Macaca mulatta: one gene and its partners. The main gene of each other region encodes a partner of the protein of the gene in region 2 in a complex. Links are inferred from orthologs where the notes say so. Each region holds a gene or a part of one and is shown on either strand. Other genes may lie near its edges.

The links.
Region 1: the proteins of PTPRG (region 2) and CNTN4 are in contact, whole or in part, in a crystal structure (PDB 3KLD), measured with the Mus musculus proteins. The link is inferred for Macaca mulatta from reciprocal best matches to the Homo sapiens genes PTPRG and CNTN4. Residues at the interface, in NP_033007.2 of Mus musculus: Lys222, Val225, His226, His227, Lys229, Phe288, Thr290, Gln293, Asp294, His295, Val296, Lys297, Ser298, Val299, Glu300, Tyr301; in NP_001103219.1 of Mus musculus: Thr128, Arg129, Ser130, Val132, Ser133, Arg135, Gln138, Gly139, Met140, Val141, Leu142, Leu143, Cys144, Gly145, Val219, Met220, Gly221, Glu222, Tyr223, Glu224, Pro225, Lys226, Glu228, Leu250, Asn304.
Region 3: the proteins of PTPRG (region 2) and CNTN6 are in contact, whole or in part, in a crystal structure (PDB 5E5U), measured with the Mus musculus proteins. The link is inferred for Macaca mulatta from reciprocal best matches to the Homo sapiens genes PTPRG and CNTN6. Residues at the interface, in NP_033007.2 of Mus musculus: Val225, His226, His227, Lys229, Phe288, Thr290, Gln292, Gln293, Asp294, His295, Val296, Lys297, Ser298, Val299, Glu300, Tyr301; in NP_059079.2 of Mus musculus: Arg129, Val132, Arg135, Gln138, Gly139, Val140, Val141, Leu142, Leu143, Cys144, Gly145, Met222, Gly223, Tyr225, Glu226, Pro227, Lys228, Glu230, Leu252, Asn306.

What each region holds. Positions count from the first base shown.
Region 1 is NC_133407.1:140,836,261-140,840,453, reverse strand, and holds the start of CNTN4 (contactin-4), read right to left. Parts: upstream 2,834-4,193; 5' UTR 2,711-2,833; intron 1-2,710. UniProt on the Homo sapiens protein: Contactins mediate cell surface interactions during nervous system development. Has some neurite outgrowth-promoting activity. May be involved in synaptogenesis.
Region 2 is NC_133407.1:125,783,277-125,786,848, forward strand, and holds part of PTPRG (receptor-type tyrosine-protein phosphatase gamma), read left to right. Parts: coding exon 1-113; intron 114-3,572.
Region 3 is NC_133407.1:139,852,289-139,856,574, reverse strand, and holds the start of CNTN6 (contactin-6), read right to left. Parts: upstream 2,863-4,286; 5' UTR 2,761-2,862; intron 1-2,760. UniProt on the Homo sapiens protein: Contactins mediate cell surface interactions during nervous system development. Participates in oligodendrocytes generation by acting as a ligand of NOTCH1.

The DNA of each region.
Region 1 (4,193 bases), about 15 Mb from region 2:
AATAATAATGAAGATCGATACATCTAGGCAGTAAATCCTGCCTCCTTGCCTCCTTCACTAGGCTTAAAACATAGCATTATAGGGAAAAATGAACAAAAAAGAACAAAAAAATCAGTGTGTAGAGACAACCCCCGCCTATCATATGAAATAGGTTCATTCAACTAAAATAATATAAAAGCAAGTTTGTACAAAATATTAATTTTTTAAGATAAGAGAGATTGAAGCTAATGTATATTATGTCTGTCTTCAAATATAACAAAGAAAAACCAACAAGTTAAAATCATAATCAGACAAACTTGTAGAAAAGTCAGTACCATGCATGGGAATTTTCTGCTGAGAAGCTTTATTTTTTTAAGACCTAAATTGAAGGAATGGATGTCCTGTATACATTTCAGAAGAAAAATTGCAGCCAAAAGATTTAGTGCTTAGAGCGGAAAAGAAATCAGAAGACCTACTTTTGAACAAAAAGGAGACAGAAGTAGATAAAATAAGTGAATGATAAAAAATCCAACATCATTTGAAAGGTTTGTTCTCTAATCACTCTTAATTATCTGCCAATATGAAATGACTATGGAAAAAGGTACTGAATTGACTCCCAATTGACTTGAAAAGTTTTACAACTCAAAGAAACTGAAAAGTGTTGTTTAAAAAAAAAAAAAAAAAAAAACTGCAAATAAGAAAATTTACCTCTGTTGAAACTTACATGTGGCTCTGACACGCACCCTTAAACAAGTCACTTCTCTTAGACTCTTAGTTTTTAACTGAAAAGGTCGGTTTTTCCATCCTTGCCAGCTACCTCCCAGGGTTCAGATGGAAAAACAATGAGGTTTATCATCATCATCTCTCCTCAACAAGACAGAGCAGCTGAAACCAGCTTCAACAAACAAATCAATAGCTATTTCATAAGGTAGCAAATATAATAGTCTCATGAAACTTGTTTTTGATCCTTACAATCTTACCTACTCCTGCGACCCATTGCAGAGATTCCCACAAAATCTTTAAAGAAATCAAGATAACAATAGCAAGAATAAACTTATGGGTAACATGTGAATTTTCTCATGAATGCCACCCAAATCACTTCAAGGTGCCTGTCCTCATGACACACTGTTCTTTTTCACCCACTTGGGTAGAGACAGAGAAAGACAGAACAAACTTGCTATTAGCCAGACTTGGGAACGCTATTGTGTGGACCTGCTCATACGCAACCTACACAGTCTTTACGCTCCTACCCCACTCCGTAAAGGACATAAACCACAAACCTCAAAAAAAAAAAAAAAATACAAGCACTTTCCAAATTATCCTACGTGGGTGTCCAAACGACTCAGTTATGTGGCGTTACTCCTTAAACTATACAGCTCCCACTACAGTAAACTGCAAGAGCTTCCCATGCAATTAAATGACACTGTTACTCTGACAAACATGTCCCCGCCCCTATGTTGATTCCAGCAGGAAAACTAGAAAAAGTTCCACGAACATTCCTTTCAGGAACTCCTCTTTACAAATAAAGCTCCAACACACCTCAAGATCCAGCCCACTCTCCTCCACGCAGACCACACACCCAAGGTGCTCAGTCACATTGATTCGCCCTACACAACCTCCGCAAGCTTTTTCGCACCAAATCTGGAGACCCTGGCCAGCAAGCAACCGCCTTATCTTCCCGATGCGCGAAGCCGCCTCCTCGCAGGAGCTCCGCTGTGCTGCAAAATGTTTTCATGCAGCCGACTCTCTGGCTGGTTCAGAGAGATTCAGGAGCCCACGTCCTCCTACCCTCACCTCCACACCTTTCATAAATAGTAAAATATATACACGAAGCACAAGAGAGAAAATGTACGAAGGTTTTGAGCCCTCCGTTCCAGAAGGAGCGCCAGTGGATTGGTGTCTGTGGGGCGCCTGGCGCACAGCTCGCTGCTGTCTGGGTCCGGGGAGGAGACAAGACGGTTGTCTTGCCCCTCAAAAGAAACTGGAAATCCCCCAGAAGTTGTTGGAAACGAATGCCACCCCACAAGCTCCCCTGGCAGAGACTGGGGAGTCAGGTACCTTCCATAAGAGCAGGCACCTGGTCTGTCACTCGCCGCCGTAGCCCCAGCGCTTAGCACCCAGCCTGGCACACAGTGGACGCTCCAAAAATCAGTGTCTGTTTCCACACGGCTCCTTCCATCACGGCTACGAGCTCCTGTTCCTTTAGTCCCAATTCCCTTCAAACCCCAAGTTCGCCTCCCTCTGCTGTGGGCTGTAACTGGGCTATCAGAAGAAAACCCCCGCCAAGAACCCGGCGCCAGAGGTGAGGGCGCACGGAGAAGGGGCAGTGGCCAGAACCGGTTGGAGGAGCTGATTTTAAGGGTTCCCGAAGCATTCCGGGCTCTGGGTTCCTTGTTTTGTGGCTGCCTCGCAGCGCAACAAACTTATTTTCTGACTAAGAAGGAGAAGAAGGGTCGCTGTGGGGTGACGGTGGCGTCGTCGGGGCCCTGAGTCCTTCTGGGCTCAGGCGTTCAGCTCCCGCTGGTCCGACCCTGCAGGGCTGTCAGGCTCTGGGCTGTAGGGCCCCATAGACGTCGTCCAGCTCTGCAGGAGTGAGAGCCCCAGGAAGCCTCTCTGTCCTTCAGGCAGCCTGCGCGGACCCTGCCCTTTCCCCCCAAATCCGCGAGCCAGGTCCCCGGGACATTGCGCGCCCACGCCGGAGCCGGACCCAAACAGCTCGCGCCTCACTTACCTCAGCACCTGGGCGCTGGGCTGGCGAGAGCCTCGGGTGCCGCGCCGGCACAGTCCGAGGGGCCCGGTGTAGTGGCGAAAGCTCCCTACTTGTAACCAATCCTGGTGTTGAACCCAGTGCTCTGTCTGGTGCGGCGCTCCCCTCCCTCCTGGCGCTCGCGGCGGCTGGAAAAACCTGGCGCGCCGGAGTTCAGGCTGCCGGCTCCTTAGCCGCAGGGAGGGGGAGAATCGCGGGGAGGGGGAGAGGCGCGGGCGGGTGAGTAGGGGCGGGAGACGAGAGGGGAGGAGGAGAGGCGCGGGAGGCCGGGAGCCCGCGCGCAGCCGGAGCCGGGCATGCTCAGTGCGCGGCCGGAGAAGGAGAGCGCTGGGGCGCAGCACCTGCTAGGTGCTGCTGAGAGGAGGCAGCCCCAGGTCCCCAACGCGCGAAATTAGGAAAGGGCACCTCTCCTGATTCTTAGGCAAGAGAAGATTATCAACGTGCAGCGACGTAGGGGTTGTGCTGTTCAGCGGCTAGGGATAAGCCGAGACGATTCTCCTTCGTTTGCAACCCTAATGTCGGGGCACCAGGAGGCGCGACCTTCCTTGGTACCCGAACCTCTGGCCTCCGGGAGACGCGGAATTCGGGGGATCGTTAAGGCGCACTGGCCATGGAAACAAATGCTTCTGCTCTGGGCTGAAAATTGTCGAACCAGGGAATGTGGGTGGGCGGGTGGCATTGAACTCAAGCCAGAAGAGGGGCTCTGGGAGGTTTTTACCTGCCTGTCCTTAGGCGAAGGACATTGGCTAGACAGGCTGCGTTACAGACCTGAAGTCTCACCCATGCAACATGCTTTCAGGTTGGAATGTGGGGCGGGGGGCGGGGAAGGTCAGAGGGAACAGTTGCTATAAAATAGGTACAAGGATCAATTTGTGGTGTCTTGGTCGCGGGGGTGAGGCATGTTGAAAGCCTTGTTATTCGAAAGAATGTGCTTTGAACGAAGTTATCATGGTCATTCTACATTATGAATCTACTGTTTCCTTGCAGAAGTGGCTCCCTTCGCCCCAACTCCAAACCTCAGGGTAACCGTAGAGATTGGCTGCAATGCCCCAGCCCCTAACCAGCACTGTGCAAAGTGACTTTGACAGGCAGAGAAAAGCCAACCCAGTCGAACTCGTCTGGAAAGCATTTCCAGCAACCCAGAGGAGCCTCTGTTTCTCTCTCTGGGAAAAAGCCCCAGGGGTTTTGCTGAACCCAGGTCTTCCTGCTCATCTCTCAGCAGTTCAGAGCTACATAAACAACTTCTGACCACTTACACAATCATGTAAACCTACCCTGACATCTCCATTATGTGTAAACGATGTTAACTGGAAAACTATTTTTAAACTACTGTAGTAAGCAAATAAACATCCAACTCCAACATGTATGTGCAGCAGCTTTATTAGTTCATTCAATGTTGGTTTGGTTTGGTTTGGTTTTTTTGTCTTTTGCTTTTTAAAATTAATTA
Region 2 (3,572 bases):
AGAGGAGCAGTATGCAGGGAGTGACCCCAAGAGGCCCGAAATGCCATCTAAAAAGCCTGTGTCCCGTGGGGACCGATTTTCTGAAGACAGCAGATTTATCACTGTTAATCCAGGTAAGTGACGCAGGTCCTCTTTGAGGGTTTCTGCTGCTGTGAACAGTCATACCGTTTTCACAAAATTGAGAGTAGAAGGTGAAGCTTCAGAAAGTACTTAATATTCTTAGAATCACGTATGTCTATCATAGAAAAGGTGCGCACGTGTGAATGTGTGAATGTGTGTCCCTATTTTACTCCAAAAGCCTACTCTCTTATGCTGGAGAAAGTCTTTGTTTGATGTTTGTTTTCTTGCCTCAGAATAACTCCAGGGACTTCAACCGGGCAATGATATAAATGAATTTAAAAAGCCATCGATCTTAAGACGTTTATTAAGATTTCATTCCATATTCATTATATAATGTATCTATAAATGGCTAGTTTGGTGCCAGGGACTGGGTAGGGTGCTGTCCCAGGGAAGCCTGGTCCCTGACTAGAAAGTTTAAAGGGGAAGGCAGAAAGATGACAGACAGCAGCTAGCTGGAGCGTGTGCCCGGAAGTTAGGTAACAGGAACGTTAGAAAGCCAGCAAGCTAGATGGCGGTTAATCGGCAAGCTAGATGGTTAACTGGCAAGCTAGATGGTTAACTGGCAACTTGGAAAACTAGCTAACTGAAGTTTTCAATTGTGAAATGGTCACAGGATGCTGTCCAAGAGAATTACGGAGAGGATAGGGACCTACCCTAACTAAGAAAGGCCACTGTGGAGAAGTGACATGTTCATGGAAATCTACAGAATGAAAGGCTTCAGCTTGGGAGAGCCCATGGTCCTTGCCCAAGAAATACAGCCCTCTCTCCCCAGAGCTCCCATTGCTGTGGGAATGAGCCAGTGTATAGACGGTGAGGCCAGGGCATGAGATCCTCATCTTACCCCTCCTGGTGGCAATTCTGTTGCTCTGTCATATGCTCAAATCTTAATGAACCATCCTGATAGTTTCTGCAAGGGAGCCATAAGCATGAGGAGTTGTTATTGTTGTGAGGGCTTTTCTTAATAAGAAATTCTTCATTTTGCCAGACTACAAGATGTTTAGCAACAATTTTTTTTGCGTCTAAGCTGTTGTGGAGTTATAAGAGTGCAAAAAAAAAGCAACTGGTAAATATTTATTTGCTTTTGCACTTGTAAACATTAAAATTCATCTAAAGCTGAGATCTCGTATGTTAAGATACAACTTAGAATAAATTTTCATGTTTTGAATTACTTTCCTCTTAAAGCTAGTATGAACTAATTTTTTGAAGTGGAGGTCTCCTATGGGTATTGCTCACTTTTGCTGTGATTTGGGGAAAGGTGCAGAGTAGCCTTTTGTGGAACTGAGTGAAGGAAATATGGGGCCACTTGGGAAGCTGTTTCTGTATGAACAGTGACATTCCCTCTAGGAATTACTTTGAAAAAGTTGAATTTCTTGCATTTGAAGATACTGAAGAAACATGTATGGAATGCCCACTGTATAAGAGGCACCAAGCTAGGCTTTGGGAGTAGAACATAGGTCAACACAGACTTCTGTTCTCTTGGGGTTTGCGTTCTGGTAGGGGAGCTTGAGAATATGCCAGTAAACAAATACATACCCTTAAGTAGCCTTAACTGCTGCGGTTGGGGAGCGGAGGGACAGTGTAGCTTTGAGTGGTCAAGGATGACCTCTGAGCAGAGATCCAAGTGGTAAGAAGGAGCTAGCCATGCAAAGATCCAGGGAGGGGAATTCTGAGCTGCAGGAACAGCAGGTCCAGAGACCCTACAGTGGGGAATTAATTTGGATTAGTTGAGGAGCTATCAGGCCAGTGTGGTTAGACCAGGGAGAGTGAGGGGGAGAGAAGGGGATGGATTTAGAGATTGATGGAGGTGCTCTGGAAAGGTACTCGTTGACCACGCTGAGGATTTCGTTCAACTAGAAATGAGCCACCAGTGGTAGATTTCGGCTGCAGCATTACTTGATTGATTTTTTGAAAGACCACTCAGGCCTCTGCGTGGAGATGATATAGGAAGGCAGGAATGGATGAAAGGAGCCCATTTAGGAGGCAGTAGTAATGGTGGCTTGGACCAGTGTGTTTTCTACAAAGACAGGTGGTGGACTTGGAATTGATTTTCAAGCTTGAGTGTTCAGCCTCTGGACTATGGACTCTGGCAAAGTAGCATTCTCAGCCTGCTCCTCTTAAACATTTGTTTGACCACATTCCTGAAAAATATGGCTGCTGAGAGTTTAGGCTGGGAGTATTTACAGTTTGAGAGATGGGAGAGAGGCAGGGACTGGGACCGCCCCAGGTAAGTAGAAATGAGTTCTTGCCATTGGAGTCAGGTTCCAGATTCCAGAGACAGGGGAGAAGAAACGGATGGTAAACTTTGGGGGCTCCCTACTCCAGGTATGAGGTGTGTTGGTCCTCAGCTTCCACCCTACAGAAATCTGAGAACATCTACAATCTTGGCAGAGTGGCTTTGGGAGTCAGATCAACGCAGTCGGCTCTGTCCCTTATTCACCCAGGGTCCTCAGGTAAGTCTTAGTCCCGTGTACTCATTTGCCAAGTGGAGCTAATGATCATGCTTAATGCCAAAGGTGGTGTGGCTGTGGAGACCCCCTCGCTGTCACTGACAAATAGGAGCTGTCAGCAGCCCAGTTGCCACACAATGATGGTGACTGTGAGGAGGCCCCCCATAGCCCTTTCCTTTGCTCTCATCTGTGGACATTAAAGCTATTGGTCCCCAAGTAACTGCCATTAAAAATGACATCCAGATGGCCGGGTGCCGTGGCTCACTCCTGTAGTCCCAGGACTTTGGGAGGCCAAGGAGGTTGGATCGCTTAAATCCAGAAGTTCATGATCAGCCTGGGCAACATGGTGAAACCGTGTCTCTAGAAAAAATACAACAATTAGTAAGGCATAGTGGCTTATGCCTGTAGTCCAGCCACTCAGGCGGCTGAGGTGGGAGATCACTTGAGCCTAGAAGGCAGAGGATGCAGTGAGAGGATCATGCCACTGCACTGCAGCCTGGATGACAGAGCAAGACTGTCTCCAAAAAAAAATTAAAAAAAGACCTCCTCCTGAAACTCAACACTGGTAAATCAGAGCTTTCCCTTATCACCTTCAGCTCAGTAAGAAGGTCCACTTCTTCTGAAAGCTAAAAAAACTTCCTTCAGAACTTCAAGCAATTCAAATCTAAAAATGGTGGTGATGATTGTTTAAGCCAGAGATCAGCAAACTTTGTCAGCTAAGGGCCAGAGAGTAAATATTTTTCAGTTTTGCAGGCCACAGGTCTCTGTTGCAGCTACTTAATTCTGCCTTGTAGCACAAAAACCACCATAGACAATACACAGCTGAGAGGATGTGATAGTATTTCAATTAAAACTTTGTTTGCAGAAACAGGCAGTTGGTCTGATATGGTCCACAATCTGTCATTTGCCAATCCCTGGTTTACGCAGAAATATGCATGTGCCTGTCGATTAGTAAAAGATGTGAGTGACCTGAGGGTAAAACAAGCAAACCCATCAGTCAATGAT
Region 3 (4,286 bases), about 14 Mb from region 2:
GTCTAAGATAGTGGGAATTCAGCCAGAATGTACATACTCTATAATGTAAAACTGATGTAGTTTAAATTCAGGTGGTATGGGTAGAGTTGATGACAACAAAGCACCTTTCAAATGCATTTAACTATCATAACAAGGGTTATAAAAGTTTGTTTACTACATAGACGTGCATCCAAAAAAAAACCTTCAAACTATTTCTATGTTCAAAATTTTTGGCTATATGGGTATTATTCTGGACATAATATCTCCCTTGGAAAGAAATCTATACCTGAAATTCAACAATTTCTTCAATGTTGTTTCAACTTCTCTTTTTTCAGTTTAATTAAAATCTAAAATCAAACTCAATATTTCTGGTTTTTTTGTTTTGTTTTGTTTTGTTTTTTTTGAGACGGAGTTTCACTCTGTCACCCAGGTTGGAGTGCAGTGGCGCCATCTCTGCTCACTGCAAGCTCTGCCTCCCGGGTTCAAGCGATTCTCATGCCTCAGCCTCCTGAGTAGCTGTGACTGCAGGCATGTGCCACAACGCCTAGCTAATTTTTGTATTTTTAGTAGAAACGGGGTTTCACCATGTTGGCCAGGATGGTCTCAGTCTCTTGACCTCGTGATCCACCTGCCTCGGCCTCCCAACGTGCTGGGATTACAGGTGTGAGCCACAGAGCCCGGCCAATATTTCTGGTTTTTTTTTAAGCGTAGGATAACCTCTCATGCTTACAGAAGACTATCTATTATTGACTATATTATCTAAATATTTCTTATTAATTTTAAAACGGTGTATAATAAGAAACCGTTCTTACAAAAGTATTTATCTCTCACCCTATCTGAATTTAGTTAGGCATCAGGATGTCTCCAATGATAGTTGTCAAATTTTGTGATTGTTATTTACAGGTGATGGGGTTTCCTTTTTGAACTTTTATGTATAGTTTGAGTCATTTTTAATGGGTTGAACTTATACTTCTGCATTTCAATTAATATGCTATTAAAATAAACAGGTAAGTGAATAAATAAGCAAATATTTTGCATTCCTTCTCCTCACATAAAAGAATTTAAAAGGTACAAATTTAATATTATACTACTGAGCATTTTTACTTACTAAAAAAGAAAACACAACTCAGAAGTATGCAATCAATTTAATATACCACACATTCTTTTCACAACATAATTGATTTTTTTGGGGGGGGTCTAAACTCAGAGAAAATATGTAATCCTTTTCTAAATAAACAAGTGGATTTGTTTTCATTAAGGAAAGTTACATAAAAATTCTAAAAAAAAATTCTGGTCCTTCACTACAAATATTCAAAGGAAGTAACACAATGAAGTCGTTTATAAATGATTGACTTTTTTGATAAGATGTGATAAGTTATGCATTTGTATAACCTCATATAAACCTTTATATAAAAGTTTCCACATTTATATATTTGAAATATTTGGACTGCACAGCCATGATTATTGCTACAAAAAAGAAAAAAAAAGAAAAAGAAACTCCACTGAAACATCAAAGATGAAATGCTTCTGTATTTCTGATTTTTTACACAAATTGTGTTAGTATTTTTGTATGTTTATGTTTGTTTTGTGAACACGTGTATGTTTACACATGTGTGTGAAGGAGGAGGGAAAAGAGTCTGCTTAAACATCTTCTTTCCTTATAAAATACAATGCACATAAATTGGTGAAACCTTCAACAACAGCAATAAAAAGATGATAAACCCATCTGATATATGAAAATTGCTCAAAACAAGCAATTCAATATTCAGCATATGCTCCTTCTTTTACAGACATCTTCAGAAAACATTACCACTGTAGATAAAATTATGAATATCTCATTTTCCAAATTGATTCTGTGTGATTCTACTGTTTTGTCTATTTTTTCTCAGTATAACTTCTATTTAGTCATTCTGTGAATGTTTCTCAGAGGACATAGTCAGGATGCTGATTATTTAAACATAAGTAGTTTTCATTTGGAGAAGCAAAAACTATGAATTCCAATTTTCCCCCCAAACCCCAATGTTATAGTATCCCATTAACATAATGGGTTATACGTGTCTAATCTCAGAGCTCTTAAAAGTTTTGTTCCCAAGTCATCAACTTCTGAAAGTTTTCATAAAGTATTATAAGAACCTTAATACTGACAAGCTTAACTGGTGTAAATGGCAAAGGAAACTCCAGAGGCTATTATCTTGAAGCTGGGTATAAAGCAAAATGCCAGACAAAATTTGGTAAGCTCGTATGACCTCCAGTCTTGCTTTGCTCCCCTTACCAAATCCTCCGCTAGGAAACTTTATAACCATTCTTTTAAATCATCCGGTGAAAACTGCAAACCCCACCCCTCATCTCTTTGATTAAAAAAAAAAAAAAAAAAAGGACAAAAAACGTTTAGTGATCACATTTTCCCATCTGCTGTTACAGAAAGGGCGTGTAGCCATCTGAAAGTCCCAGAATTAGCACTGTCATCCCGTCTTGCCCATTAGTTTTACTGCAGCAAAGACTAGTGAAACACCAAAAAATATACCTGTAGTCTTTCTTTCCCTGGTTTGATCCTAACCTCCCGGAATACAGATTCAATACATTTTTCCCACACAAGGAATAAATGCATTTTAAACATCAACATCATAGAAACACAGCATCAATAAAGCAGTGACTTCTCCCCCAACCCCAGCTTTTACCTGTTATGCTAATACAAAGACATTGAAAGGAAGAAAAGCTGCAGCTTGCCCAGCAATATTCTCATTGCAGCAGACAGCACAATTTTGTACTTACAGATCTTACCAGGGAAATGTCTCGGGATCTTTACAATTTTTCTGCAGAACTCTGTTTCAAGCTCTCAGCCAGGCATGCTGTGCATCCAGGCAGAACCAAGCCGTATGGAATGTCTATGCAGCTGGGAGATAATGGGACTCTTTTTCCCAGCTGGGACTGCAAGCCTTTTATCCACTGAGTATTGCGTGGCTCTTCTCTGGTCTTAAGCATGAAATACGCTCCTCTCCTGCTGCATTCCTGTCGGAGCCTAGACAATCAGTTCTTGAGGCACATGTGCAAAGCTCTCGTTTGGAATATTCAAAAGGAAAATTCTTTCTACATTGAAAGCCAGCTCTATCTTCATCAACCTTCACAGAATCGGACAGAGCTGAGAGCAGCTGCCATTCCAGTGGCATGAAAGATTAAATTCACCCTCCTCTTTCTTTGACTGGAGATAGTCACTCCTGCCGGGTCATCAGAAAATCTCTCTTATTGAAAACTGGGTCAGACTAACTACTTATTAGGTTTCCAACAGGAGAGGAAGTAATTTTTTTCTTCCTCTGGTTTCACTGCATTGTCATTTGCAAGCAAAGGTTAAGCTGGTCAAGGGTCTGCACTGATTTAGACAGTATTCAAATGTAAGCTTTTTGAAGCATGCCAGTAACTCCTTCTATTAGTGAAGGTGAAGAGAAAAGGGAAATAAAATCAAATGATAGTATGCACTATCACTAAAACCTTTCTAAGTTGTATTTTTTAAATGTGTGTATGAGGCTTCTCAAAGACAGGTAAAGAAAGTGAAGTTAAACAAGTCCAAAAGAGTATTGCTGCTTTCCAAGTAACATATTTGTAATTCCAGAGGCAGAGAACAAGTGTCTGTGTGTTTGCATAGGAGCTCTGTAAGAGGAAAAATAGGTTTTGTGTCTCACCCTGGGCTCTCCAACTAAACTTTTTAATATGTTTTGGTCTTGTCATTGGGTTTTGAAGGGATGAACTGCTTGAAGGATGAAAACTAAGGAATAGGAATTATACATGTATGCACACAGAGACTGTAATTCATACAAACATAGCTATAGCATGAGAAAAGAATGATAGTTTGGACTTATTTTCATGTTGGCATACAAAGAAATTATAATCTTAGCATCTTAAAGTAAGTGGATACTGAGAAAATGAAATTCCCAAATCAAATGGAAATAAGTCAGAAGATATTTTGTGGCCTCAGTTTGCTTTCACCTGATGAACAAGAAGGTTTCAATGACTATATTTTATGACTATGTCCTATGGATTTCTTCACAGGGTCTAACCAACATTATAAGAGGCTTTAGAAAGGAGATGATGCTTCCTAATACAAGGTAAACTCAAAATGGGCTACGCTATTGTTTCTCCCAATTCATAGGAAGGCAAACTAGACTAATAATTTTATAGAGAGAATATCTGATTTTATTGAACCTCTTCTAAAAAAAGTTAGAAGTATTTCTTGCTCTTTAGGAATAAAAATATATTTTACTTGTAAAAATTCCAAGGTGACTTTTCTGCAGAGTTTTAAGAAAAATAATCAT